Rattus norvegicus: one gene and its partners. The protein of the gene in region 1 interacts with the protein of each later gene in a pairwise test. Links are inferred from orthologs where the notes say so. Each region holds a gene or a part of one and is shown in the gene's direction. Other genes may lie near its edges.

Region 1 (3,679 bases):
CTCTGACCAGTCTCTCATGCCCTGCTGGAAGCAACATCTTGCTTTTCCTTGGCACCGCTGTGACCATTCGTTTTTTTTTTTCTGGCAGCTGGTATCGGCCGAGGGCTCACACCCAGAGCCAGCCCCTTTCTGTGCTGACAACCCCTCAGAGCTGCCTCCTTCAATGGAACGCACAGGAGGCATCGGTGACTCTCGGCCCCCGTCCTTCCAGTAAGTGTGACTCGAAGGTGGGAACGGCCCATGGGGAAGGGACAGCTTAGTGCAAACCAGGGCTGGGAAAGGGAGCCCCTAGCCCTCTCTCTTCTCCACCAAGTCCTCTCTACCCTTTAGCCCTCATGCTAGTGGGGGCAGCCAGGAGAACTTGGACAATGACACAGAGACCGACTCCTTGGTATCTGCCCAACGAGAGCGGCCCAGACGGAGGGATGGCCCTGAGCACGGTGTGTATTCTCACTTCTGGCTCCTCCTGGTAGCTTCTAGCCAGCTCCCTGCCTCTTTACCCTGCTTCCCGAGTTCTGGGTATGCCTGGGTGCTGTTCAACCCCTGGCTTGCTCCCTTCACATCTTGCTTTCCTTATATCCCTTGTTCCCTGCATTGAGCCTTGTATGGACCCAGCTGCCCATCTCCCTCGCAGCAGCCCGCCTCAATGGAACCACAAAGGGCGAGCGGCGACGGGAGCCAGGTGGCTATGACAGTTCATCTACCCTCATGAGCAGCGAGCTGGAGACTACCAGTTTCTTTGATTCAGATGAGGATGACTCCACCAGCAGGTGGGACTTGACTTTCATAGGAGCAGGGATGGGAATGGGGGGATGGATGGGTGTGTGTGTATGTGTGTGTGTGTGTGTGTGTGTGTGTGTGTGTGTGTGAGAGAGAGAGAGAGAGAGAGAGAGAGAGAGAGAGACCCATAAGGAAGTTTGAACCCCGCTGATTCTTCACCTCTGGAGGGATGTGGCCATTGTGGTGGGATCAGGGCTCTCCTGTGCCTCTTATGAGGCAAGGATGGGCCAGCCTGGTGGGGAACGACTTTGGGCCCCACAGGTTCAGCAGCTCCACAGAACAGAGCAGTGCCTCACGCCTAATGAGAAGACACAAGCGGCGGCGACGGAAGCAGAAGGTCTCCCGGATTGAGCGGGTATGGGCTGTTGGATATTCAGGAGGATGAGCAGGAGGTTAGACTGTAAGTCCTTCCTAGGCAGGACCACAGCTTTCTTCCTCAGAGCCCTTCTGTTTGGTTCGGTGTTGGGGAGCTTAGTGGGTAAGGGTGGTGTGCTGAGGAAGAACCGGGTGGGAACCCTCCTCCCCACCCACTCCAAGCACTGCTCACAGCCACTGTCTCTTCCAGTCCTCCTCCTTCAGCAGCATCACAGACTCCACTATGTCTCTCAACATCATCACAGTGACTCTCAACATGGGTGAGTCTGGCGGCACTTCCAAATGCCTCTCAGTGGAAAAAGGGGTTCTGGGAAACGCAGCGTACGTTTTCTGGGGTTTGGGGTGGGTCTCAGTGGTATACTACAAGGCTCTGGGGGTTCCGTATCCAATACAGGAAGAAAAGATATGTTCCCTATTCTGAAGTTGCGCGTCTGTAAATACTGCGTGAGACATCATATAACCATTTCAGTAGTTCAGTGTCAGAGCTGTGACAGGTAAACAGAGAACGATGGGAGCAGAGCACGGCACCTGGGAGGCTTCCTGGGGGAGTGATTTCTTGCCATTACATACTTCCTTACTCTTTAAAAGGCTCAGCAGGTGGGCCTGCCACTCACCCTGATGCCTAGAGTTCAGACCCTAGAATCTATGTGAAAAGAGAGGCTGACTCCTACAAGTCGCCCTCCAACCTGCACACACACACACACACACAAAACAAATAGATAAAAATGAAATAAAAAAATGTAAAGGCAGATAATATGACCAAAAGAGCTGTAACTTGGGAACTTAAATCTGAGTTTACTTCCTGATGCTTTCTGTCTTAGAAAGGTCACTTAGGTCTTGCCTGTCTGTAAGAGGGTGTTCAGAGTCGCTGCCTCATAACCAGTAGGAAAATCGAAAGTGTGTCTATGTGTATACTGTACAGTAATGTTTGCCTGGTTGTGATGTTAATTATTGCCCCTTTCTGCCCTGTACTAACAAGGAGCTGGGAATTTGGGTAGGAACCCTGCCCTTCTCAAGGTGTTAAATTATTCCCTGCAGAAAAGTATAACTTCTTGGGCATCTCCATTGTGGGCCAGAGCAATGAGCGAGGTGATGGGGGCATCTACATTGGCTCCATCATGAAGGGTGGGGCAGTGGCGGCTGATGGACGCATTGAGCCGGGAGATATGCTGTTGCAGGTATCGTCTACTACCCTGGGAAAACCCTCAACCCCAGCTCCCCTGTCCATCTCCTGAGCACTCCCTGTTTTCTCACTCCTAGCCCTCTTTCTCAGGTAAATGAGATCAACTTCGAGAACATGAGTAATGATGACGCAGTCAGAGTGCTTCGGGAGATCGTGCACAAACCAGGGTATGAACAGCATGGGACTGGGGGAAGGTGGGCCAGGCACTTCTGGCAGGAGACTTGGTCTGGCCTGTGTGCATCCTGCCTTTATTAGGACAACCTTGCTTTCAGGCCCATCACTCTGACTGTAGCCAAGTGCTGGGACCCAAGTCCTCGTGGCTGCTTCACATTACCCCGGAGTAAGTAGACAAGGGATCATCCGTAAAGTTGGTGTTGGCTGTATAAACCATGCTCCTCTCTTCTCCTTACATGTTAGACACTGTAATAGGCAGGGTGGGCAGCCTGTGATGACCCATCTTCCCTGCAGGTGAGCCCATCCGTCCCATTGACCCTGCAGCCTGGGTCTCCCACACTGCAGCCATGACAGGAACCTTCCCTGCCTATGGCATGAGCCCCTCCTTAAGCACCATCACCTCCACCAGCTCCTCCATCACCAGCTCCATCCCCGACACAGAACGTGAGTATTCAAGTCTGTCCCTTGGGCCACCCAGCAGACGGGCCAGGTGGGAGGATTGGTGGAGGGACCCACTGTGCATCGGGGGGAGCCTTCGAGGGGACACCGTAGCTCTTCCCCAGAGGGCACGCAGAGCCTCACTGAACACTGTTTGCTTCTTAACATACCATGAGCACCCACGGAGCCTCAGTTTCCTCTCATACAATGGGGCTACTAGTATATGCTTCCCAGGTTCCTGTGGGGTTCGATGAGAGGTTCTAACTAGAGCCTTGGTACTGCGTGACATGAGGGAGCACCAGTTTACTGTCATCCCATGTGCATGTGCTTAGGCTCCTCTGTCACATGTCCTTGTGAAGACACTAATCATTCATTTTTACAGGAGGGGAGACTGTCCAAGGAGTTGGTGGTGGGCTTGTCATTGTTGAGTGGGAGAGCTGAGATGCCACTCCTGTTTTCCTAACTCCACAGTGCCTCTTTGTCTCACTGCTCTGCCCCTTCCCCCAGGCCTAGATGATTTCCACCTCTCCATCCACAGTGACATGGCGGCCATCGTAAAAGCCATGGCCTCCCCCGAGTCAGGGCTGGAGGTCCGAGACCGCATGTGGCTCAAGATTACCATTCCCAATGCTTTCATCGGTGAGAGCCTTACTGCAAGATGAAGGACAGGTTGTGGAGACAGGGGCAGGGCAGGGTGGGGACCCGGGCTCTTCCTCGCCTACCTTTGGG
Region 2 (4,177 bases), on another chromosome or scaffold:
TACTGAGTGACCGACAGGGAGCCAGCTACCAATGTGGACACTCAGGGATGAGGTGTTTTTTTCTATTTCTTTCTTCAACTGCCCCACCCCCACCCCCCACCCCGGTCCAGCTCACAAACCACTGCTAAGTGGCAAGGTATTAGAACAGGTAAAGCTTACAGTTTTGAGATCAGAAGGGGGAAGGTGTTTTTCAGCAGGTGTTTTCTTCCTTAAGGGACAAAAGTGTGGCTGGACCAACCTAGGAGAGAGAACTCCCCAGTGTCCTCAGGTAGCACATTCCGGAGAGTGAATAAGTCTGCGAGGGAGGCTGGCTGCGGGCCACAGGCGCACAGCAATTCAACAGGCTGATGGGACAAGATGCCATAGGCCTTAACCAGCAGGCAGGAATCCTCTTAGCTGTCACTCAAGTGCCAGCTGAGTCCTGCCATTAGCCTCTCTTTCCTGCTGGAAAAGCTGAAGCAAGCGTGACTTATCCAGGGTCACACACCAAGCTTGGGACCAAAATAACTCTGACTCCTCTTCCCTAGCTCTCACAGCAGACAACAGCGCCTTAGTAAGGCGCTATCATTCTAACCTGAATCATTTAAAGTACCCCTAATTGCAGGCCTACTGTGGACTGTAACCACCAGGTGACAGACAGACCGAGAGGTAGGAATGACTGAAGTTTTACCAATGGCCAAATCTATTATTAATATAATACACTGGGGACTGCGAGGGAGTTTGGGAAATGATGCTGACAGGCATCGAACTTAGATTTTTAAGGCTTGTCATGTCACCTCCAGTTTTGTTATAATATTGGAACAGAAAAAAAAAAACACTAGGAACTCAAAGGGATGCGATTCAGAAAGGCATTAGGGGGGTAAATCCCAGATATAGCTAAGTCTTCTCAACCTTTTTCTTTTTTTGCACCTACAAAAATCCCTGTGTTTAAACTTCCCTTTTAATTCTGGTGTTGGCAGCTGTGTGGGCCTGTGAGAGCCCTCGGAAAGAATATCAGGCAGACGAAAAGGGCCTGGGAAACAGTCAGGCATACCCATTCAGATCTGTACACGGGGCTAGACACGTGCTCTGCTCAGGAAGGAAAGTAAATTCCGACCAGCAAATTGCTCTAACTGATTCATTTGTCCTCTGAGAGACGCCACCTACCTGCTCCAAGGTATTCAGGTAATTGACAGGGGGCGGGGCCTCCTGGGCTGTTTTAGTCCCTAAAGTCTCAGCCAGACTTCCGTGATGTCACAGATTTCCTGTTCTGAGCCAACCAATGCCCTCCTTCTTCCTCCAGCCACCTGTACACCGAAGTTGAGACCAGTCACAGCTCAGGCAGCCCTAGAAGCTTCTGGCACAGGGATGGAGGCGGGCTGGTGACTGCTGCTTTGAAAGCCCCAGACATCTTTGAACAGGTGAGCAGGAACTATTTTTTCCTCTCTTGGTTTTTAGACCCCTGACCCAGAAGGGATCTAAATGAGGAATCTGAATGAAAATTACAAAAGAAAAAAGAAAAAGAAAGAGAGAGAGAGAGAGAGAGAGAGAGAGAGAGCGAGCTCACTGAATGGCTCAGTCCAGAGTAACACTCTGAGAGTAAAGATGTCTGTAACAGTCTTATTTGTGACCAGCAGTGTTGTCTCGGCCAGATATTTAATCATTTTTGTTTCCTGATTACTAATCCAGCCTCTGCTTGTTGTGAAGTTGATTTGATTCTTTTTAAAACCCCAGAGAAAAGTGAGATGAGATGCTCTTTGAAAGTTAGTTCAAATGTGCAGACCAGTCCAGCCTGTTTTGTGTGTGTGTGTGTGTGTGTGTGGTGGGGGTGGGGGTGCTGGGGACACTCACAAAATTCAGATTGTCTTTTTTTTTTCTTGCCTTCTGCATTCATCTCATCTGAAAAGCTGTAATACTTCCCTAGGTTTTGTTGTTGTTTACAACAGAAAGTCAGTACTAAAGCTGATAAATTCTGGCTCCCTGTTTATAAGTTCTCTCTCTCTCTCTCTCTCTCTCTCTCTCTCTCTCTCTCTCTCTCTCAAAAGCCTTCAGTTTCCTTTACTTGTGGAAAACATTTAGCAGTCTGGATTAGAACTCTGTTTACCTACTTTCAGGCCCGACAGGCTGCCTGCTGACCTTTGGTTAAAGTAAAGATTACCCTTCAAGGCCACAAGAATGTAGCCCCAGGTCTGGGTTTGAAACTCTTCTGTTGTTTCTACCTTGCTCTTAATATAGTAAATATATGGAGGAGACTGTTCTGCCAGGACCTGACTATAAAAGTAATTGTACCTCAAGGACCCATATTCGTTTTTCTAATCCTGATCGTGTAACCTGTTCTCAATGGGCAGGCACCCCCACCAGCTAATATGATTAACAAGAGCAGAGGAATAAATCCCCAGTCCATCTCCTTATCAACTTATCTGGGAAACTCGGGGAGAGAAATAAATGAACGAGTCTTTTCATTTCATAGGCCTTCGTTAGTTGCATTAGTTAAGTTAGCAGATGGCTTTGTAAGGAAATCATCTACTAGGAGTTAAGCCCATATACAGCCCTCTAGAAGTTAAAAGAACCTGCCAACTGTCCAAGAGTGTATGAACGGAAACAACTAAAAAGTATCGCCCTTGAACGGCTGCTTCTTTCTTCCTGGTAAGCATCTGCCTCCTGCTTGTTGCCAGTTTCTTTCTGATTCTTGGGAAGCTCATAGTCTCTTCTCTAGTTGACCTTTGTGCCTTATATTGTCCTCTAAGCTCCTGTGTTTGCAGAGTAACTGTTGTTGATGCCTTAGTAACATTCTCGGTTGATTCAGAGGTTTGTGAGCAAAGTGAGAAAAAGATTCCTCATAGCCTGGAGTTTTGTAGGTGTAAATTTGTCCTTGATGTTCCAAACCTCTGCAAACTTTCACACACACCCCTCTTTTATACCTGGTTAATTAGTCATTTTTACAACAATGGACCTATGATTAAATAACAAACTATTTTGTCATTGTCTCTAACTGCTTAGAAAAATATTATATATAATATATATTATATATGTATATATATAAAATCCCCCCCCCAATTCAAGAAAGAGAAAAAAGGGGACAGAAACCAGAGTCCCAGTGTCTAGCATAGGGGTCGAGGCAGCTCGTTGGATAACGTGCATGTGTCCTTGAGAAGTTGCTGTGACATCTCCACTAATTTGGGTGTATACAAAGTGCTAAAGGAAACAATATGTATTTCCTTAGCAAATTACTGGACTTCTCTGAACCGCCATTCCTTTCTCAGTAGGACGAGAGATAAGTACCATGTGCTATAATGTGGTTCTCTGAGTATAGGTGAGCTTGGAGTCAGGGACAAATAAAAGACAAGTTCCTCTCTGCTGGAAGAAATTTCCTGGGAGCTTAGAGGACTTGTGTGAGCCCATGTAGCTCTCCTGTGGCTGCAATGGTTCAGGACCCGGCTCTTATTACTGTAATTAATTGTCAGTAATTAACCCCACTGCTAACAGTTTGGAGAAACACAACAGTCCAGAGGGAGGAGAATGAACGGGCTGTCATTCCCTGAGCCAGGCAGCGTGTGCCTGCCAGCCCCCTTGGCCCTTGGTGAAGCAAACTCTGGAGTGGTCTCTCTTCCTTCTTGTGATCTCTTGACACATCCACAAAGTGTGAGTTCTTAAAGGCTGTCAGGAGAGGTCATCGTTGTTTGGAGGGCAGGGAGCCCAGACTGTTTTAATCATGCTACTACCCTGAGTGGCCTTGGGTACTTGGTCCCCTCTAATCTTGTAGGTAAACATCTTCCACCTCAGACTCCATGAGCACTTGGCCAAGCCAGTGTGAGAGGTGACAGATAATTTGCAACCTGTACCATTCTGTGGAGGGGGAAGGCTCGTGGGTCCTTTGGATAAGATCCACACATTTAAGTAGAGATTTTTTTAAAGATTGATCTATTTATTATATATTAGCCCACAGCAGAAAAGGGCTTCAGATCTCATTACAGATGGTTGTGAGCTACCATATGGTTGCTGGGATTTGAACTCAGGACCTCTGGAAGAGCAGTCAGTGCTCTTAACCACTGAACCATCTCTCCAGCCCCCAAGTAGAATATGTTGAACCTGTCAGTGACCTTGAATCATTGCATCAGAGCAGATGTGGGCCCAGACCCACTGCCAGCTTCTTCTGGTCCCACCTTTTTCTCAAAGTGTAACACACGTCTCTGCCCTT
Region 3 (4,153 bases), on another chromosome or scaffold:
AAGTGAAGTCCTGGGCTGGCTCTGACGCTACAAGGTGTCCAGGACACGGCCCCTTCCCGCACCTCCCAGGGACTTCCCACCCCTTCGTATGACCTCAGCCTGCTTTGCCCACCCACCCAGCTGACCCCGAGAGCGTGCTCAGGCTTGGAAAAGCACGTCTGTGGGTGTGAGAGACGGAGCCACAGCATAAGGTGACTATGGGGAAGCTAGGTAAGTGTCTGCACTGGTTCTACCCAGGCTTGGGGACGCGAAGGAGTGTGTCCAGCCGCGCCTGTTGGGCTGCCCGCCCCTTTCCCTCTCCCCCGGAGAGCTCTGATGTTCCCCGCGGTGGTGGTAGAGGGTGTGTGGGTGTCAAGGACTCACAGACCAGGCTGTGCTGTCAGCTGGAAATGGATGAGGGTTCCACACTTGGCTTCTGAAAGAGGGCGAATTGGGAGCTGGGGTGGGGGGCGGTAGGTGAAGGGCAGAAAGAGGAAAAAGAGATGCGGGTGAGGGGTTACGGAGCCAGGACCGACCTTGCTAGGAAGGAAAGGAGACGTGGCAAGCAGGGAAGTCGGAAAGATGAGGCAAGGGCGGGAGGGGCTTCTTAGCAGTCGGGGCCCTTTCGCGCGAGTCTGGGGCCCTTTCAGAGGAAAGGGGGTGTTGTTCTTGCTTGAATTTTTCGGTTGGTCTTCCCGAAGCTTTGCCATGGGGGCAGCAGCCTGAGGAGGGTGGGGTGCCCCCTCGGCCCTCAGTTTACTGTAGCGGGTGCTGGAGAGGTTAGGAGGGAAGAGAGATGTAGAAGGGTAATGGTCAGGGCGGGGGCGCGCTAAGATTTTTCAGGGTGGGGGTCTGCAGTGAGGTGCTGGGGCTTCAGGGTCAGGTCACCATGGGATACTGGCTCAGGCTCCAAAGACCAGGAGAAAATACTAGAAGCCGGCAAAGAAAATCATCCCCCGCCACCACCCTTGGCACCGTACCCCTCCCCCCAGGCCCCACCACTCCCCGCACCGCCTCCCCCGGCCGCCTCGTGCTGCCCCCTGCGTCGGGACGACCGACCCACGATTCTGATTGGTTGGAGACCGGGAGGGGGAGCCGAGGGCCGGATTGGCTGGCGGGGCCAGCGCAGGGCGGGGCGGCTGATTGGCGGAGCTTGCCGAGGGGCGCGCCGCTGATTGGCTGGGGACGAGGAAGCAGGAAGGAGGGCGGCGGAGGCTCCGCTCTCGGGGAGTTTGTGGGGGAACCGCGAGCGGCGTAGCGGATCCCGGAGCCCGGCCCCCGCTGCTCGCCCGTCCGGCCGCCTGCCCCGCCCGTCCGGCCCTAGCCGTCTGCCCGCCCCGGCCAGGCGCGCCCGCCCCCCCCCGACGGCCCCGCCCGACCGCGGCCCCCGCTCCGCCCGCCCGGCCCTGGCCCCCAGGAGGAGGCGCTGACGCAGCAGCGTGGAGCCCGGGAATTGAGCGCCCCCGGGGGGTTCCAGCCGCCGGATTCCAGCCCGGTCAGGGCCTGCGGGCGCCCAAAGCCGCGCCGTCCGCGCCGCTCGTCCCGGTGAGCTAGGAGCTGGGATCCAGGAGGGGGAAGGGGAGGACGAACGAGCGAGAGCGAGCGAGCGAGCGAGCGAACGAGCTAGGTAGGCGGACTAGCAAAAGGGAGAGGACCGGCCGCCCGTCAGCGCGCCCCGCCGAGCGCGCCGCGCCGCCGCCCCCGCCAGCCCCGGGAAGGGACGGACGGACGACAAGAAGCAGGTGCGGCTGCCTGCCCGCCCGCGCGCGCCGCCTCCCTCCCCCGGGTCCGGCGCTGCGGTCCCGCCATCGGGGAGCACTGCGCGCCTCGAGGTGACAGCCCCCGGGGGGCGCCCGCCTCGCAGACCGGGGGCGGGGTGGGTGGCGGCCGCAGGGTGGCAGCTTGGCCAGGGGGCGGCGGCGCGGGCGTCCCGGGCTACGGAGGGCGGGAGGACGCGGGGTGCTTCCTCGCCGCGGCGGAGCCGGCTCGCCTCCGAGTGCGCGGGCGGCAAGGCCCCCGCCAAGCCCCCTCCCCCATCGTGGTCCCCGAGGCTAGGGGCCGCTGCTGGGGGCGTCGCCGCGGGAGCGCCCTCTCGGGGTGGGGGGCGCCCTCCAGGGTTGGGAGCTGACCGGCAATTGCCGGAGGGGGGGTGGGGATGGGGGCCGCGTCAGGGCGAGGGGTAGTGTGGACCGGATCGGGTCGGGCTGAAGGAAGGGAGGCGCCGAAGACGGAAGGGGACCGGTTCGAACAGCGAGTGTGGGCCGCGGGAGGCCCTGTGGGGACCGTGCGGGGCGGCGGCCGAGTCCGAGGTAGGGCGGGGGGAATCGAAGTTGTCAGACCGCCTCTAAGTGACAGCGGGACCCGGTGCTCCAGGCCCGGCCTGGTTGTGCCCTGCCAGCCCCGCCGCCTCTCCTCTGGGGCCGGGGGCCGGGTCAGGTCGGGCCCAAGGGGCCCGCTCGGCGGTGAAGAGCCGGACAAAGGCGGCGCCCAAGCGGGCGCAGGTAGTGGTATCAGGGAGGGGAGCGAGTCCGGGGCACCCACCCCAAGGGGCGGGCACGGGGCCGGACTCTGCCCTGGGGACTGCGGGGGCCGGGGCGTCCACCGGGAGGAGCTGCGGCACTGGCTCTGGGCTGTAGCCGCAGATATCCTCGCGGCTCCGGGAAGAGTGGGGTCGACTTAGCCAAGGCGGAGGGGCAGGGTTGGGGGGTGTGCGCACCGAGTGCCCTGGCCGGTGGCGAATGGGCTGGTGGACTCAGAGGCGAGCAGAGCCTGCTACCAGTGAGAGGCTTTCAGCAAGTCTGCCTATCGATAGAGGTTTAACTCCACCTGGGATGTCTCCTAGTGGCCCATTGTCGGCAATCTTAAGAGCACAGACGGCTACTTGGATTGGGACTAAGGGACCCCACCCCCAACACACACACCCACTGTGCTTGGCGATGCCTTCACTATTGCTGTAGCAGTTTTCCTTAGGCAAGAAGGTACCCACATAGGGACAAGATAAGCTGAGTCCATAAATTGAGGCAGAAATTTGATGATGACATAAAATAAGGTTTCCAGCTCTCTTTTGTACCACCTGACACGTTTCTCCCCAGCTTCTACACCTCCATAGTCTTCTACCAAAAAGGAAAAAGCCTCAGGGGGACCACATTTCTCGGGGACACCACTGTCCTAGGACACTTTGGAATCTCTGGCTTAAGCTGTGAGAGTACTGCTAACCCCAGCGGTGAGCAGCTCTAGGCTGTATGCTGTTTATCCGTTTGTGAGAATCCACTCAGCTCCCGTGCCCCTCCTCATGTGATTGGGTTGGGAACAGGAAGAGAGGAGACTCAGGCTGATAACAGCTGAGAACATGGCCTTTTGCTGAGAAAAATCTGGGTTGGAGTGGCACACCAGTGGGACTGGTCAAGAGCAGCACTCGGCTGTGTTTGGCTCTAAGCCCACCTTTAGGAAGCTGCTGTCTGCCAAAGGAGCAGGAACAGCAGGGGGTGGAGTTCATTCAGAGCACCCCATCTCTCCCCAGGAGAGTCTGGACCCCAGTTTGGGTGGAGTCGAGGCTTGTGAGGAAAGGGGGGTATTACTTCACACAAGAGACTGAAGTTTGTTTGAGAGAGTTTAATTGTATGTCTAAATCCAGAGAAGGCTGGAGAATCTCTTTTGCTGGGGTTGTACTGTACGAGATTTCTTTTGGTGGCAGTCAGAAGGGTGACCTGGTTTGGCTGCTGGAAGGTGGGAATTGCCAAAATAACATTTCCCTCTGTGACGGGGGCTTAACCTGGCAAGAGATACTTGTCAGTCAGATGAATGTTTAGGACTGGCTCTGGGGAGTTGAGCCATTAAAGAGATGTGTTTTCACTCTGCATTTCTTCGGTCCCTCTGCTCTTTGCTTTCTCCTATGTCTCATCACTCCAGAACTGAGGCTAGCCTGGGACTTGCAGGGAATCTCCTCTCTCTGCCTCCTGGTGTGCACTACCATTGCTGGCGTTGGTTTCTTCTTTTCAGTGTCTTTCCCTTCCTTCTGTTGCCATGTTCCCCGGGTCATTTTCCTCTTGCTTCCTCTGGCTCTTCTGATCCAGTCTGTACACAGCTACCAGATCTTTCTCCCAAAGCACCCCTTTCACCAGTCAGTTTCTTACTCATGAAATCGTGCTTGCCTCCCCCCCCCCCCCCCCCCGCA
Region 4 (4,338 bases), on another chromosome or scaffold:
GTCATGAGGAGCAAACAGTAAGTGTGCTTAAAGTTTGTCTACTCAGAAAAGTATTCCTCACGATGCCTTTCAAATACGTAATTATTCAGCTGAATGCACACAAGTGAACTTTGCAATTCTGGTTATTCTCTGACACCCAGAAGGAATTGGTTCCAGGAATCCATAGATACCAAAATCTGAGGGGTTGGGGATTTAGCTCAGTGGTAGAGCACTTGCCTAGCAACCACAAGGCCCTGGGTTCGGTTCCCAGCTCCGGAAAAAAAAGAAAAAAAAAAATGAAAGAGCAAAAATCTGAGTGTGGTGGTCTTCTTTGGTTTAATTCGTTGTCGTTGTTGTTGTTTGACACCAGAGTGTCTTTATGGAGCCCAGGCTGGCCTGGAACATGTTATGTAGACCAAGGTGAGCTCCAGCTTGCAGCAATCTACCTCTTTCTCCTGAGTGTTTGGATTGCAGGGAACATACCACTGCACCTGGCTCTGAACTCATGTAGTTAGGTGCATGGTGTTTGCGTATACCTCATGCACACCCCATGTACCTCAAGACAAGTTCTGGATTACTTATGCCTAAAACAGTAAACTTATTGTACTATATTTGTGCTGGCTAGTTCTATGTCAGCATGACACAAGCTGTGGTCCTCTGAGAGGAGGGAGCCTTAATTAAGATGATGCCTACAGAAGATCAGGCTGCAAGCAGTCAAGCTGGTAGGGCATTTTTTGAATCAGTGATTGGCCGGGGAGGGCTTCTTTCACTTTGCCACTCCTGGGCTAGAGGCCTCTGTAAGAAAGTAGACTGAGCTGACTGATTGGTGGTGATGCAAACTTTAATCCCCACACTTGGAAGGCAGAGGAAATCAGATCTCTGAGTTCCAGGCCAGCCTGATCTACACATTGAGTTCCAGGATAGCCAGGGCTACACAAAGAAACCCTATCTAAAAAAAAAGAAAAAAAGTCAAAAAGCAAAGCAAAGGAAGTAGAAAGAAATAAAGGAAATTGAGCAAGTCATGAGGAGCACGTCAGTAAGCTGCACTGACACTGACCCTGCATCATCTCCTACCTCCTGGATATTAGTTCCCACCTCTGCACCTCTCACTGGACTGTGACTCAGGATATGTAAGCAAATAGACCCTTTCCTCCCAAGGTGCTTTTATCACAACAGTGCTAATGCTGAGGTAGTATTCTCTAGGGAAAATTATAAACGCCTGTATACATGTTCAAAATCAGTTCTTTAGTTCTTAATATTTTGTGCTTTGCTTGGTTGAATCCAAAGATATAGAACGTGGAATTTGGAGGAAGAATGAGGTAATGTTTACTGGAGTCGTTGTTGGCCAGATTGTGGTGGTGCCAGGGTCAAAAGTGCTCTCTCTATATTTGTGGAAGTTTGCGGTTAAGGAAGCCCTTTTAGTTCCTTAATTTGTAAAGCTAATTGTGTGTTTGGTTTCCCACTTCTTCATTGTGACCTTTTTTCCCTTGTAGCTGCACTGTCCAAGGGACTTCTTTGTTCTTTCTCCTTAGCGCTTGATGGGCGGCATTATGGCCCCTAAAGACATAATGACAAATACTCACGCCAAGTCCATCCTCAACTCAATGAACTCCCTCAGGAAGAGCAATACCCTCTGTGACGTGACCTTGAGAGTGGAGCAGAAAGACTTCCCTGCCCACCGGATTGTGCTGGCTGCCTGCAGCGATTATTTCTGTGCCATGTTCACTAGTGAGGTAAATGCGAGTCTTTGCTATGTAAGTCAAACTCACATTGTAACTTTGCAGTCCTCCTCTTTCAAGGGACAAAATAGCATGCGTTGGTGATCCAGCTATGACATTGGTAGCCAAGTGGTCACCAGGGTTAATCTTGGGGTTCTGTCTGGGCAGCTCTTTCTTCACTGTCCTGTGTGTGTAAGGGGCTGCTCAATCAAAGGGGATGTTTCCAACACACCATTCTTTGGTCAAAAGTATAGGAGTGTCAGAACTTCCAGACGAGTGCTCAATAAATAAAATATAAATCTGAAACCAGATATAGTGGCTCACACTTAAGGTCCTGACAGCAGGAAGATGGCCATAAATTTGAGGCCATTCTGAGCTACAGAATAACACCCATATAAAAGCATTCAACAATGAAAAAAAATAGTCTGGTAAACCAGTGAACTTATGTAATGTGTTAGTTAATAGGTAGGTTCTGAGTAAGACATGTGTTGGCTTTCTGCTTTAAATCATCAATGATTGTAGAAAATGAGTATTTATGCTACTGGTGCAGATTTCAGGATGACTTCAGATGAGGGGAAGATGGGGTTTAATGAGTGACTGTGCAGTATTGACTTAGCTTGATGTGGTAGACATGTCTGTAATGCCAGCAATTGGGGGGCAGAAACAGGATCAGGGGTTTCTCACCATGGGGCCGGCCTTGAACTCACGGTGAGACCATGTCTCCCGAAAACAAGGGCAGAGGATGCAGCTCAGCTGGTCTAATGCTTGCCCAATATACACAAAGCCACTAGGTTAAGACCATCCTTGCCTCTGTACAGAGTTTTAGGCTATTTGGGGCTATAGGAAACATTGTATCCAAAACCAAAATTACTTTTTAAAAAAAAGGGCCAGCAAGATGGTTCAGCAAGTAAAGATGCTTTCCATCAAACCTCATGGACCAGATAGGGGGAAGGAAGGAACCAACTTGGGGTGTGTGGAACCAACTTGGGGTGTGTGTGTGTGTGTGTGTGTGTGTGTGTGTGTGTGTAGACAGCAGAGCTGTCCTGGAACTCACCCTGTAGACCAGGCCAGCTTTGAACCCACAGATCCGACTGCCTCTCCCTCCCAGGTGCTGAGATTAAAGGGCTACACCACTACCTCCTGGCTTTAAAGCTTCTAAAAAGTAAAACTATTTAAACTAGTCTTTGTAAGTATTTTAGGTTTGAGGCATATGAATAAGTATTGGGTATTTAAACTTCGACATATATCTGAATTATTTCAGCATGCTGGCTTTTTGTTTGTTTGTAAGATTTAAAAAGAGTTCCGTGTATGTGCTGCATGGATTTTATGTCCATCGTATTCAAGGAGTTGCCCGTGGAGTCCATAGGGCACCAGATGCCCCAGAGCTAGAATTCCAATGGTTGTGAGTCACCTGACGTGGGTGTTACAAATGCTTGACCAGTCTCTCCAAGCCTGTGGTTTGCGTATATGTGCATCTGTTTTTTTTTTTTTTTTTTTTTTGGAGCTGGGGACCGAACCCAGGGCCTTGCGCTTCCTAGGTAAGCGCTCTACCACTGAGCTAAATCCCCAGCCCCTGTGCATCTGTTTTTGAGAAAGAATCTTAGCCTGAAATACTTCATCTCTCCGCCTCCAGTACAGAGACTATGGGTGTGAGCCATCGTGCCTGGCTTTGATAAGACTCTTTAAAAAGTATCTCTAAGCACCAGTGTTTTCTTTAGGTAGTGCCCATCACTGTGAGGCTGCAGAGGTGGCTCAGTGGTTAAGAGCACTGGCTGTTCTTCCAGAGGATCGGGGTTCCATTCCCAGCACCCACATTATGGTTCACAACTGTCTAACTTTAGTTCCAAGAGATCTGACACCCTCACACAGAGATACATGCAGACAAAACACCATTGCACATAAGGTAAAAATTTTAAAAAAAGTCCCTGTCAATGTACTGAAGAAGTAGTTGCTGGAGCCAGATAAGAGAGGGAGTGTCGTGATAATAACAGCTATATTTATGGGCCCAGTCACATTGCCATGTTGTCATTTACCCAAGGGGTAAATATGCCATTTCATTTTACAGATGAAAGGTCTCAACAAATGCCTTGCCAAGGTCACATTGCTTAGAGCACCACAGAGAGGTAGGCTCTGCCACTATAGCATATGACTGTAAAAAATAATCCTTAACTCCCATGTTCATCCATAAGGCTGGTACCACAGATCTCTAGCTTGTACTCCCCTTTATGATGTCTGCCCCAAAAACATAGCCATTTAGCTGGGTAGGGAGTGTTGACCAGTGCTGAGCATGAAGTGGACTAAGACTGCTGCTCACACAGTCCTGCTAAAGCAGCGTGTGTCCTGTCTGCTGTCAGGCTGTCTCCTGTCTTGGAGAAAGGCTGTCTACATTGTTTTTTCAACACTGGGGAATTTCTGGAATCTTGGAGGAAAAAAACTCATTTCTTCTCATACATGACTCTTCTTTCTTTCCTTCTTTCCTTCTTTCCTTTTCTAAACAGGGCTTTTCTGCGCCTGTTGTAGACCTCCCCCTGTAGACCAGGCTAGCCTTGACCTCAGAAATCCACCTGCCTCTGCCTCCGCCTCCAGAATGCTGGAATTAAAGGTGTGTGCCACCAATGCCTGGCTAGAGTGTGATATTTTT
Region 5 (4,444 bases), on another chromosome or scaffold:
CAGCTCACCTGAAGCTGAGTGAGGAGTGTGGAGCTGAGGTAGAAATGAAAGCCACTTCTGTTTTTACACATGAAGTGATAGTTCTTTATTGAAATCTTATTACAGCTGGGCAGGCACAAACCTTTAATCCCACTACTTGGGGGGCAGAGGCAGGCAGATTTCTGAGTTAGAGGCCAGCCTGGTTTTAGAGATGAAGTTTTAGGACAGCAAGGGCTACACAAAGAAAGTCTTTCTACTTATCTAGAAAAACCAAACCCACAATAACCCAACCAAAAATCCTACTACACTCTAAAAAGACCAGCAGGATATGTGAGGACGGCCGTGCATGCCACTGCCATGACTCCCTAAGTTCCTCTTCTCCGAACTCTTCCTTACCGACTTCTTATCATCTGTCTGTCACCACCCATCCATCCCGGCAGAACAAGCCCATCAGGAAGCCACTACCTGAGGCTGAGGCCGAGTTGCTCAAGTTGACTTTGAACTCCTGGTTTCAAACAATTCTCTTGCCTCAGCCTCATAATTACGTGGAACCACAGGCCGGTGCTGTCCAGCTTCACTCGGTTTTTAGACGTAACTGCTACCTGTTTTACAGATGTCAGAAAGCCCACAGCCCACACTGTTCTTCACATCCAGGCCATGTGACTTTCAAAGCTGAGCCTGGGGTTTTTTGTTTGTTTGTTTCTTTGTTTGTTTTTAAAGATTTATTTATTTTACGTGAGTACACTGTTGCTCTCTTCAGACACACCAGAAGAGGGCATTGATGGATTCTGTTACAGATGGTTGTGAGCCACCATCTGTTGCTGGGAATTGAACTCAGGACCTCTGGAAGAACAGTTAGTGCTCTTAACCACCGAGCCATCTCTCCAGTCCCAAGCCTGGTTTTTTTTTTTTTTTTTTTGGTTCTTTTTTTTTCGGAGCTGGGGACCGAACCCAGGGCCTTGCGCTTCCTAGGCAAGCACTCTAACCACTGAGCTAAATCCCCAACCCCTCAAGCCTGGGTTTTTTAAACTGCCTCTTCCCCCCACACTAACTTGGAGCAGATGTTAAGGTGGGAAGGATGGAAAGGTGGACAGGTGGACAGATGGATGGAATAAACAAATGGTCTGTAGGTGCTCGGCAAAGCTAAAACGGATCCCAGCCTCACCCTGGCACTGCCTCAGTTGGAGTCTCCAGGTGGTGCTACCACGGACGACATGAAAGAGAACAAGGGTGGTCCTAGCGGAAGCCCAGGCCTGGACCCACCTGTGCCTATTCATCTAGCACCTTAGCATGCAGGGCACCAAACAAAGACCAGCTAAAAACTTAGCTCGGCTGCCTACTTGGCAGGCAGTGGACTTTAGGGAAATATTTGACAAATGGATGACCCTGCTGAGGGTTCCTTCCTTTGCCTGGCGACCCGGGCGGTGTTATCTTCCCGCTTCAGGACTTTAGAGCTGCAGGGAACACCCTGGGCGTGGCGAGGGCGGGGTCCCGGATCAGAGGGTGGAGCCTAGAGCTGAAATATCCAGAGTGGGGCGGGGCCTGCGGCCCGGGGGCAGGGCCTGGAGCCCGAGGGCCGGTCGGCCTCATAGGGCTGCCTGGCTGCTCTAGGGAGTTCGGGTACCCTAGCGCTCGATCCAGGAGAGGCTGCGGCCGGGTTGGGGCGCGGATGCTGGAAGTTCACATCCCCTCGGTGGGGCCCGAGGCCGAAGGGCCCAGGCAGAGTCCAGAGAAAGGCCACATGGTGAGCAATGGACGAAGAGTACGTGCGGGGCTCTCCCGAATATCCTCGCGACCAGCGCAAAAGGGACCCAGAATTCAGGGCTAGGACATTCGTTGCAAAGGTTCGGGGTTACTTGGCTTTGCCAGTCCCTTGGACGATGGTCTGGGCTCTTGAGGGATCCGTGGAGCAGAGGGGAGGGCCCGTCAGCCTTTTCTTTCAGGTGTGAGTGGGGTTCGGAAGGGGTTTCCCTGAGCGGTGGCACGCCAGGTCGGCTTTGTGCCTTTCAAACACCAGAAATTGGGCGCGTCTCGCGGCGCGGGTCCTACTGCATCCTTTGGACCTGCTGCCCGCACTTCTCCGCCCGCCAGGTGTTCCAAGTAGAGGTGCTGTACAGCGGACGCAGACACACGGTGCCGCGGCGCTACAGCGAGTTCCATGCTCTACACAAGCGGGTGAGATGTCGCGGACTACCCACCGATCTGGGTCCAGGCCAGGTCCCTAGGTGGCATTCGACAGAACTCTGATCCCAGCTTCTGGTTGGCCACCCCCATTACTGTCCAAGTCCCCGGGAGGGTGCAGATCACAGGCGACTACCCAGGGCTGCAGGGCCCCTCGCGGGGAGGACGCAATGGCTAGATCCCAGCTCAGACTGACCTTGTCCGGGTGCGTCCTTTCCACACTCTGGCTTGTCACTTCTGTCCCAACCACCTCTTGCCAGCTGTCCCAAGTTGAAGCTTAAAGACATAGAGGACGGGAGAAAGTCCTCAGCTAGGTGCAATGGGCTTGAATGCTGGGATCTCACCTCAGTGACTGATGTACTACAGATCAAGAAACGGTACAAAGTGCCTGACTTTCCCTCAAAACGCCTGCCCAACTGGAGGACCAGAGGACTGGAACAGCGCCGGCAGGGCTTGGAGACCTACATCCAGGTGTGCACTGGGCACACTTGGTTGCCCCTAGCCTGAGGGACCATCGGTGACCCAGTTAGAGATGTGGGAGTGTGTTGAGGTCCACAACTTTGGGCTGTTATTCAGTATCTCGGGCTCTGTTTTTCCAAACGAGTACAAACTTTTCTATCTGGATCACTCAAAGTTTTGAATAATCCAAGTAGATTCTTCACTCCTAGGCTAAGAACCTGTTTTCTTTTTCTTTTTTTTTTTTTTTGGTTCTTTTTTTCGGAGCTGGGGACCGAACCCAGGGCCTCGCGCTTCCTAGGTAAGCGCTCTACCACTGAGCTAAATCCCCAGCCCCAAGAACCTGTTTTCTTAATGAGGTATGTATGGACTCATCCCTCTAACAGTGGCAACCGCCGTTGCTGCCCACATCGTGGGGCCAGTCTTTGCAGTCCATACTGGGCCATTCCTTAGAATGGCTCTGAGTTCGGTCTAATACTTGTTCCTACTGCCTTGAAATTCTTAAATCATTTTGAAACCAATGTCCTCAAAATTTTTGCAATGGGTTGTGCAATTAATACTGGATCTGACTGAAGACTTCGTCTTCTCTAGGGCGTCCTGTACCTGAATCAAGATGTGCCCAAGGAGTTACTGGAATTCTTGAGACTTAGACATTTCCCTACAGACTCCAAGGCCAGCAGCTGGAGGTAAGGATAGCTCTGTGGAGAGGTGGCAAGGGCCCTCAGCCCACCCTCAGCCACAAAGAGGTGTAAACAGAACCTGAAGGTTTTCAAATGTACTGGGCCCTGGCCTGGTTCTGATACACCACCTCCCTCCTCACCTTTCTAGACTTGGAGCAAGGCTGGGTTTTGGTGGACAGCTTTGGTTAGTTCCAACAGCCTTGCCTCCACCTCCGGAACTGGGCTTGTTACAGAATAGTCCCCTGGGCTGCTGTCTCCACCAGCTCCTCACCTCCCCTGGGTATCCTCCAGCTACTTAGTGTTTCTTTTCTTTTCAGCACCCTGGGGGAATTCCTGCCTAGTGACACCAGGCAAGGCAAAGTCCTACCTTAAAGGCCTGCTGACCCCTGGTGGTTACGTGCTAGGAGGCAGGCCAGCAGCCTGTTTTCTAGCCCCTTACTTTTCCTTTTCGGGTCCCTGCTGATTTTGGTCTTCGTGCCTCTACTCTCACTAACCAATCTTCTCACAGCTCACAGCTGCACCACCGGCCGGTCATTGGCTTCTGCCTGGATCCCTACATTCACACCCCTTCCCCAGGTGAGACTGATCTAAGTTCCCGTCAGCACCCGTGCCTACTGTCCTCTGAGGGTTACCACCTGCTGCTCCTGTAAGTGGCAGCCTGCTTTGTAACTTCATAGAAACCAGTGCAATACAGTTGCTTCACCAGGTCTCTGTTCCCCCGGGGAGTCTCCAAAAGCTAGTATGAACAGATGTGGATGAGGGAAAGCCTCTTTTCTCGTAGACAGCTGGGCCTGTGGGCAGCTCAGTGCTGTAGGCTCAAGGCCAGGCTAGCCCCTTCTTCACTTTCTCTCCCACAGCACCTCTCCCGGAAGTGGTGGTGGATGGTGTACTCCAGGGTCTCTATGGCTTCGGCACCAGCACCAGCCCGGCAGCAGCCCAGCCGGAGGCTAACTGTCATCCTGCTCCATCACCAATGCCCTGACAAGCTCAGGCTTTGGGCCACCTTTCAGGACAGTTATGTGCCTCAGTCCTAGGACTCCTATAGGAAACTGGGTCTTCCCTTGGACTAGATTCAGGTGTAACTTGCTGAGGCTCAGTCGTGCCCATCCCCACTCAAAGCTCTGAACTTGGTTTGCACTGACAGCTGT
Region 6 (3,679 bases), on another chromosome or scaffold:
GTTATTGAATGAAGGGGGTGATGTGGCCTGTAAAATCAACTACAGGGTCAAGATGGTCCCCAAATCATGTTATAGTCAGAACATAGCATAAATAGGAGCCCTGGGAAGTCAGAGACAAAGTCACTTTTGGTCATTTCTGTGTTTGGTACACAGCTGGTGCTCCATAAATGCCTCTTAGGGCAGCTGAGCAATTGAGCGTTGGGGCTGAGTTCTGGAAGCTGGAGTGCAGACTGTTTTGGCACCAGACTTTGGGTGCTGTGACACTCAATTGGCAGGGACCAAGGCCACAGCACTTTTTCCCTGGGAAAGTCCCTGTTCTGAAGGCCTCACATGGCTGTCATGCAGGAAGGAGAGCTCCAGTGGGGAGTTTGTCAGAACAATGGGTTTCAGAACAGGAAGTAGAGGCCAGCAGCTGGCTGCCTCAGGTGGCAGCCAACTTGGAGCTGGGAATGACGGACTGCAGCTGTGCCACCCTGACATTCTTCCTGCTTCCACACACTCGGCTTCACCTCTGAGCCAGAGAGAACAGATTTAGCTTTGTCTATGGGAAAAGCAAGGACCAGAGACAGTCAGCCGCTGAGTCAAACGGGGACATCAGACTTTGTTCCTCTGCTAGCAGCCCTGTGTTCAACGTCAACTGAAAAACAACCCCAGGGTGCTGGAGAGGCCCATTCAGGCTCCATCTTATTTCTCTTTCCTTTCTTGAGAGGGTTGGGCAGTTCAGGCTGACCTCCAGCTCCCCATGCAGCTGTGACCTTGAACTTCTGACCCTCCTACTGTCATCTCTGAAAGCTGAGGACCGACACCAGGCAAGTGCTCTGCCCACCTCAGACTCAGCACCATTCGTAGACACTAGGGAGGAGGGAGGAGGGAGGAGGACTCAAGTGTAGGGGTGTGGTGTTGGGGGTCAGGGGTAGACTGTCTTTTGTTGCTGTATGGCCCTGTGGTGCAGTGTACTTTGAGGGGATAGATTCCACCATTATGGATTCATTCCCAGCTGGGCCACTTGGATGGCATTGTTTGTTGCAAATGGCACTGGCCGAAGAAACGAAATAAGTTCACGTGGCAGGCGCCAAGCTGCCATGTAGCCCTGTGTCAACAGTAGTGTGTGGACCCTGGCTGGCAGACAGTGGGGGTGGTGAGCGCTGTGGGCAGGAAAACACACAGAGCCTTCTTGTGCCTGCCCTGAACTCTTAAGGTCAGGGAGCTGATGGCTGAGAGGCTGGGGTCGGGGCTCGAGCTCACACAAAAACAGGCATTGTAGGGGACTCTGGGAGTGGGCAAGTGGTCTGAAGCAAGGGGGCATTGCTGCTCCCCCAGCCCCCGGCCATCAGGATAGGGTGAGCAGTGGACAGCTGACCAGCGTCTGGGGCAAGACTGAGACCCAAGGGCCCAGTCTGGTCATGTCCCCTCCATCCTGCTCTTCCAAGTTTGTTCACTCCCAGAGGGTTCTGGGTCCCCAAGAACACAGCAGATGAGGGGCCAGGCCCTGCTCTGTCCCTCTGTGGTCTGGGGGAGGTGGTTGCAGGCCTGCAACCCTGCAGCTGTGCAGCCCTGTGTGGCTCAGAGGAAGTACCCGGCAGGTCAGCTTAAGATGGTTTCCTAGAGGAGGAGATACCCAGGCTGAGCTGAGCGATGAATCTGTCCTGGGAAGAGTCAGGGACCTTGGGCACTGGAAGGTTATGTAGGAGTTTACTAGGAAAGAAGCAGGGGTTTGGAGAGAGAGTTCTGTGGGGTTACAGAAGTTTATTAGGGAAGAGGCATGAGAATTGCCAGTGGTTTTTAGTACTGTCATTTGGGAAAATTCTAAAAATGCTTGAACTGGGTAGTGGGGTGACTGCTCCACAGGAGCCGACCTGCCTGTCCTCTTGGCCACTTCCTGGCTCCTTCCTCCATGGCAACCATCTGAAGCCTCAACTCCCCAGCTAGGAAACCATGGGCTGGCTGCCGGGAAATCAGAATGGTGCCAAGTCCTGTCCAGATTCATTCCTTTGACCTGAGCACTGTGTCATCCTGACAGGGCCCATGGACACCTTCAGCACAAAGAACCTGGTCCTGCAGGCCCAGAAGAAAGTCCTCAGCAAGATGGCTTCCAAGGCCATGGTGGCTGTATTTGTGGATGACACCAGCAGTGAGATCTTGGATGAATTGTACCAGGCCACTAAGGAGTTTACCCGCAGCCGGAAGGAGGCACAGAGGGTGGTGAAGAACCTGGTGAAAGTGGCCGTGAAGCTGGCTGTGTTGCTTCGGGCAGACCAGCTGGACAGCAACGCGCTAGCCCAGCTGCGGCGTTTCCGGAGCCGGGTGCACAGCCTGGCCATGACAGTCCTCAGCTTTCACCAGGTAGACTTCACCTTTGACCGGTGTGTGCTGGCCACCGGGCTGCTGGAATGCAGGGATCTGTTGCACCAGGCCACTGGCCTGCACCTCACTGCCAAGTCACACGGCCGCATCAATCACATTTTCAGTCACTTTGCCAATGGCGACTTCCTGGCCGCACTGTACAGTCCAGTAGAGCCCTACCGGAGCCACCTGTGTCGCATCTGTGATGGCCTTGGGAGGATGTTGGATGAGGGTGGCATCTGACCTGGAGTCAGCAACCTGGAGCCTATCTTCCCCTGGTGACTGGTCCCCCAGAACACAGAACTGCCTGTGCACGAGGCAGTGTCTCCTCTGCTTCTCCTGCTGTAGCCCATTTGCTTTTGCCTGCGTCTCCCCTCCTCCTCCTCTTCCTTCTGAGACAGGTCTCATGTAGCCAGGCTGACACCAAGCTCCCCATGTAGCCAAGGCTGACCTTGACCTCCTGAGCCTCTTGCCCCCACCTCCGAGAGTGCTGGACGACAAGTGTGTGCCAACAACCCACTGTCTGAGCATTCTCAGTCTTTCAAATAAGGTTGTGGAGAACTGGGAGAAAAGAATTGTACTCCTCTGATCCCTCCCACTGCCAAATGACTGTTTCCTAAGTCTCAGGTCCTCCCAAGGTGACTTGCTTTAAAAAATGGAGTTCAAACTCTTGCACCAGACTAGAGTGAACAGGTATCAGCCTGCTACAACAGGTCTTCATATAGGTTGGCCCAGGGGGGTTCACTCTGCCAATGCTGCAGGGCACTGAGCACTGACGAGTGACGCTACTACCGAATGTACCAGCAGACAGGTGCTAGACAGGGCCATGGCTTTTTCCCAGTGGTTTTGAGACTCCAAGCACACTTTGGTGTTGGGATCTGAGATCCTGTTAGGGGACTGGACCCTGGCACTGAAGAAAAGAAATAGAGCTGGTGAGATGGCTCAGCCTGTAGGAGTGCTCACTGCCAAGCCTGTTGACTGGCTTTCCCAAAACCTGTGCAGTAGGAGAAGAATCCAGTTTCAGAAAGTTGGCCTCTGATCTCCATGTGGACATGCCCACACAGAGCCACATGGGGGCGGGTGCTCTGGCACTTGGAAACATGGAGGGATCCAACCACTCAGCAAGGAGGCACTATTCCAGGTGGACACTTGGGAGTTGTCACTGATAGGACAGGACTCGCTGTCAAACATGGGGACCCCATTCCCAGCTTCAGACCAGGGTAAAGCCACTGGAGACACAAGTATGTGTTAAATTATAATTCCATATTTGGGAAACAAATCCATCTTTCCTCTTTGTATGGTAGCCTGGGTTTGTAACTGAGACTGTGTGTGGAAG
Region 7 (3,679 bases), on another chromosome or scaffold:
GCCCTGGGTTCAGTCCCCAGCTCCGAAAAAAAAGAAAGAAAACGAAAAAGAAAAAAAATTCAAATGGTAGGATCTCACCGGAAACATCTAAACTCACATTGAAGCTCCACTCAATGTTTTACATGAAAGGAAAGAGAGGCCTTGGGCTCATGACAGAACCAAAAGTGGAGTGCGTATGGTAAAAGCCAGTGGCAGTAGGTGGAGCTTCCTAGACCTCATGCTCTGGTGGTAGGCAGAGGAGAGCACAAGGCATCGTATAAAGCTTCTCTGTAGCGCTTGCTCTTTGACTTGAGCAAAGCTGCTTTGTGCATCCTTGTTCCTAGCAGTATTCAAGTGCTCTCAGCTTTTTTCTGACCATCTTTTTGTGACTGTTGTGTATGCTCTTAGATAAAATACTTGGTCTTTGTCCCATTCTTCAAAAGTAGAGAGTGTTTAGAATTGACTGCTTTCAGGTCTAATATCTGAAGGCATCCTTCAGTTCTTCCCTCATTTGGAGTTCTGGGCTATTCGGTGGCGTGATTGCTGTTTTCTTCTAGACAGGGTCTTAGTATGTAGCCCAAGGTGTGAACATTCTGATCCTAGAGCTCTACCTCATAAGCATATCACCACACCTGACTGGTTTCTTAATGTTGGATTTGTCCTGGTTTTTTGTTTGTTTTGTTTTTTTTCTTTTATTCCCTCTCCTACCAGTTGGTGTTTTCAAAATCTGAATGACTCTCCAAGAAGTTGTCATTGTGTTTGCTTTTCTCCCATCGATATTGGAAAAAGGAAACGCTTTTTTTCTCTCTTCTACAAGCCATGGCAGTTCTTTCTCCTTAGTTCCTCAGCATTTGATTCCAGCCTCACTGGTGCAACTGTGGCATCCGGCTGGCTTCTCTGGACCTGTCTTACCTGATGTTTTCTCTTTCCATGGATGCTGATGTTATGAAATCAACTACCTCACTTGCTGCCACTGCTTGTTTGACTCCTGTCAGCTTGCTCTTTGTCACGTGCTAACTGTGTCTAGCTTAATTACAAGTGGACATCACACTCGAGGGCAGACATTGCCAATATCGTCTGAACCCCTTGAACACCCACAGACATAATCTGCTAAACACCTGTCGAGTTGAATAGAAGTGATATGATACAGTAGCATGGGTTGAAGTGCTGTGTTTGGTTTCTTTTCCAGTGGGCATCCCTACCATCAGATGGTGTGGGGCTGAGGGGGACTACAATGTCATGGTGATGGAGCTACTGGGACCCAGCCTGGAAGACCTATTCAACTTCTGTTCAAGGAAGTTTAGTCTCAAAACTGTTCTGTTGCTTGCTGACCAAATGGTAAGCAATACCCCTTTTCCTGAAGTGTTCAGGCAGTGTAGCAAGCACTTGGCATGTGCTTGCTGGCTTACTAGAGTAAATTACTGGGTTACATTGGCAATGGTGGCTTGCAATCCCAGCACTCAGGAGGCAGAGGCAGACAGATGTTTATGAGTTTGTGGCCAGCCTAGTCTACACAGCAAGTTCTAGGCCCATAAGGGCTACATAGTGAAACCCCATCTCAAAAAACTAAACAAATTACTAGGTTGCCATATCTCCATTATTACATCCATTTGTGCATAGAAAGAAAGGGGGATTTGTTTAATCTTGGCCTCAAGATGATTGAATTAGAAAATAACTTCTCACGGGGTTGGGGATTTAGCTCAGTGGTAGAGCGCTTGCCTAGCAAACGCAAGGCCCTGGGTTCGGTCCCCAGCTTCAAAAAAAAGAAAAAGAAAAAGAAAAAGAAAAAAAAAAAAAAAAGAAAGTAACTTCTCTCCCCCCTCCTCCCTGTATCCATATCGAATGGACTTTCAGTTCTCTCAGGGAGTCCACATTTGGTAGCAACACTTGAATGGTTTTCATGAAAATTCTTGTTTATGACTCATTCAAAGTCCATCTGATGTGAACCATAACCAAGCAGCTTGCTGTCTTACCTATTCCTCTGGGAACTAAAGAGAAAAAAAATGTCTGGGCCTGTCGAGGGACAGAGAGTTGAGGATACCTTGAGAGAAGACTACCTTAACTGAAATCACTGCTCTCCAGAAAGTAGAGAAGAGAATGTGTAATGGGAGCCTCACTGCCAGGCAGCCTCCTTTTCCAGCATGAACCACTATGAGATTCAGTCTTACCTTTGTTTCTCTGTAGATAAGTCGTATTGAGTACATTCATTCGAAGAATTTTATCCACCGAGACGTGAAACCAGATAACTTCCTCATGGGGCTGGGAAAGAAAGGCAACCTGGTCTACATCATTGACTTTGGGCTGGCCAAGAAGTATCGGGATGCCCGCACCCACCAGCATATCCCCTATCGAGAGAACAAGAACCTCACAGGGACAGCACGCTATGCCTCCATCAACACACACCTTGGCATTGGTGAGCCCTGACAGAGATGGATCACTTGACGTTGTGTACCTTTAGCATGTCCATCCCTTAGATTAGGGAAAGTCCAACTTATGTAGCAGCCTAGGTGATGAGAGATGTGGAAGCTGTTAGCCAACCTTGGTAGCAGACAAGCAGAATTGAGCAACCAGAATCTCTGTATTGCCAAGTACAGTGGGGTAGCAGAAGCTGGCTTCTCCAGCAGTTCTTCAAGATGTTGATGTTGCTCCCCTGAAGTCTTAAGGGGGGGTTTCTTTAACAAATGTGAGGGACAACTTCTGGTGACATAATTCTGCAAGTATATTTTTCTGTTATTTTTGAAGTTTCTAATTTTTTGTTTGCCAGGTATTGATTTTATACACACACACATGCCATCCTTGACATAGTTCCCTTTTTCTTCCAGAACAATCTCGAAGGGATGACTTGGAGTCTCTGGGGTACGTGCTGATGTACTTCAACCTGGGCTCTCTCCCCTGGCAGGGGCTGAAGGCCGCCACCAAGAGGCAGAAGTATGAGAGGATCAGTGAGAAGAAGATGTCCACTCCAATTGAAGTGCTGTGCAAGGGCTATCCTTGTGAGTCCCTCACATCCTTGCTGCAGAATTTGCTGGGGCATGCCAGCAGCCACCTGTCCCAGTGCTGACTAGATGCTCATATGGAGAGCCTCTGGCTGTGCTGTCAGACTTGCTCACCTTCTGAGAAGAGTTACATGAAATGGGCACTTATATGAAGGTGGCAGTGGGACCTGCCACCACCACCACGTCATCCCACTCCCAATCCCTAAGCACTTTGGTCAAGGTATTCTGTGGGGCCCAGAAGAGACTGGAATGAGGCAGGACTGAGCCTTGGGAAATGACCCCCATGACTGGGGAAGGAACACAGTAGTGGGAGGCCTAAGGACATCTAAAACTGACCATCTTTACCCTCACCTCCTAGAGCCATTTCCGAGGGAGTTTTCCTGTTGAGGGAAATTGCTCCTGGGATAAGAATGCCCTCAATGTCTAAATTTTGCTCTGGTGTCTGACCCTTTGGAGGATGTGGAGGGTGCAGGATATGGAATCCAGGGCCTCACACGTGCTGTGCAAGCCTTGACACATTCTACCATTGAACTGTACCTTTGCTTACATGCTGAATTTATTTTCCAAGCAGTCTCCCTAAGGCCTGAGTTCCTAAATATGACTAGTCTTCATATCTCACCTTTAATGTCTTTAGTGTATGGCACTGTGGGAGGTGAACTGGATGAATTTGGCAACAGTTGGTAGTTCCGGGCTAGCTTTGAGTT

What was found.
Region 2: the proteins of Dvl3 (region 1) and Lnx1 interact in a two-hybrid assay, tested with the Homo sapiens proteins (2 studies listed by BioGRID and IntAct). The link is inferred for Rattus norvegicus from reciprocal best matches to the Homo sapiens genes DVL3 and LNX1.
Region 3: the proteins of Dvl3 (region 1) and Bahd1 interact in binary tests that used the Homo sapiens proteins (3 or more experiments, as listed by UniProt). The two-hybrid records come from large-scale screens. The link is inferred for Rattus norvegicus from reciprocal best matches to the Homo sapiens genes DVL3 and BAHD1.
Region 4: the proteins of Dvl3 (region 1) and Klhl12 interact in binary tests that used the Homo sapiens proteins (3 or more experiments, as listed by UniProt). The two-hybrid records come from large-scale screens. The link is inferred for Rattus norvegicus from reciprocal best matches to the Homo sapiens genes DVL3 and KLHL12.
Region 5: the proteins of Dvl3 (region 1) and Snx22 interact in binary tests that used the Homo sapiens proteins (3 or more experiments, as listed by UniProt). The two-hybrid records come from large-scale screens. The link is inferred for Rattus norvegicus from reciprocal best matches to the Homo sapiens genes DVL3 and SNX22.
Region 6: the proteins of Dvl3 (region 1) and Tnfaip8l1 interact in binary tests that used the Homo sapiens proteins (3 or more experiments, as listed by UniProt). The two-hybrid records come from large-scale screens. The link is inferred for Rattus norvegicus from reciprocal best matches to the Homo sapiens genes DVL3 and TNFAIP8L1.
Region 7: the proteins of Dvl3 (region 1) and Csnk1d interact in binary tests that used the Homo sapiens proteins (3 or more experiments, as listed by UniProt). The two-hybrid records come from large-scale screens. The link is inferred for Rattus norvegicus from reciprocal best matches to the Homo sapiens genes DVL3 and CSNK1D.

The regions. Positions count from the first base shown.
Region 1 is NC_086029.1:93,876,785-93,880,463, reverse strand, and holds part of Dvl3 (segment polarity protein dishevelled homolog DVL-3), read left to right. Parts: intron 1-88; coding exon 89-210; intron 211-330; coding exon 331-440; intron 441-634; coding exon 635-770; intron 771-1,041; coding exon 1,042-1,135; intron 1,136-1,345; coding exon 1,346-1,415; intron 1,416-2,193; coding exon 2,194-2,333; intron 2,334-2,428; coding exon 2,429-2,505; intron 2,506-2,610; coding exon 2,611-2,678; intron 2,679-2,806; coding exon 2,807-2,956; intron 2,957-3,457; coding exon 3,458-3,589; intron 3,590-3,679. UniProt on the Homo sapiens protein: Involved in the signal transduction pathway mediated by multiple Wnt genes.
Region 2 is NC_086032.1:33,867,276-33,871,452, forward strand, and holds the start of Lnx1 (E3 ubiquitin-protein ligase LNX), read left to right. Parts: upstream 1-1,295; 5' UTR 1,296-1,400; intron 1,401-4,177.
Region 3 is NC_086021.1:126,345,197-126,349,349, forward strand, and holds the start of Bahd1 (bromo adjacent homology domain-containing 1 protein), read left to right. Parts: upstream 1-1,207; 5' UTR 1,208-1,524; exon of another isoform or gene 1,525-1,606; intron 1,607-1,612; exon of another isoform or gene 1,613-1,721; intron 1,722-1,768; exon of another isoform or gene 1,769-1,811; intron 1,812-4,153.
Region 4 is NC_086031.1:48,453,755-48,458,092, forward strand, and holds the start of Klhl12 (kelch-like protein 12), read left to right. Parts: upstream 1-1,510; 5' UTR 1,511-1,511; coding exon of another isoform or gene 1,512-1,517; coding exon 1,518-1,712; coding exon of another isoform or gene 1,713-1,733; intron 1,734-3,762; exon of another isoform or gene 3,763-3,820; intron 3,821-4,338. UniProt on the Homo sapiens protein: Substrate-specific adapter of a BCR (BTB-CUL3-RBX1) E3 ubiquitin ligase complex that acts as a negative regulator of Wnt signaling pathway and ER-Golgi transport.
Region 5 is NC_086026.1:75,505,086-75,509,529, reverse strand, and holds the start of Snx22 (sorting nexin-22), read left to right. Parts: upstream 1-1,590; 5' UTR 1,591-1,648; coding exon 1,649-1,723; coding exon of another isoform or gene 1,724-1,823; intron 1,824-2,070; coding exon 2,071-2,154; intron 2,155-2,526; coding exon 2,527-2,631; intron 2,632-3,207; coding exon 3,208-3,302; intron 3,303-3,613; coding exon 3,614-3,646; intron 3,647-3,804; coding exon 3,805-3,872; intron 3,873-4,153; coding exon 4,154-4,278; 3' UTR 4,279-4,444. UniProt on the Homo sapiens protein: May be involved in several stages of intracellular trafficking. Interacts with membranes containing phosphatidylinositol 3-phosphate (PtdIns(3P)).
Region 6 is NC_086027.1:1,082,192-1,085,870, forward strand, and holds part of Tnfaip8l1 (tumor necrosis factor alpha-induced protein 8-like protein 1), read left to right. Parts: intron 1-707; exon of another isoform or gene 708-709; 5' UTR 710-809; intron 810-2,020; 5' UTR 2,021-2,025; coding exon 2,026-2,586; 3' UTR 2,587-3,679. UniProt on the Homo sapiens protein: Acts as a negative regulator of mTOR activity.
Region 7 is NC_086028.1:106,734,076-106,737,754, reverse strand, and holds part of Csnk1d (casein kinase I isoform delta), read left to right. Parts: exon of another isoform or gene 1-1,168; coding exon 1,169-1,317; exon of another isoform or gene 1,318-2,163; coding exon 2,164-2,392; exon of another isoform or gene 2,393-2,801; coding exon 2,802-2,972; exon of another isoform or gene 2,973-3,679. UniProt on the Homo sapiens protein: Essential serine/threonine-protein kinase that regulates diverse cellular growth and survival processes including Wnt signaling, DNA repair and circadian rhythms. It can phosphorylate a large number of proteins.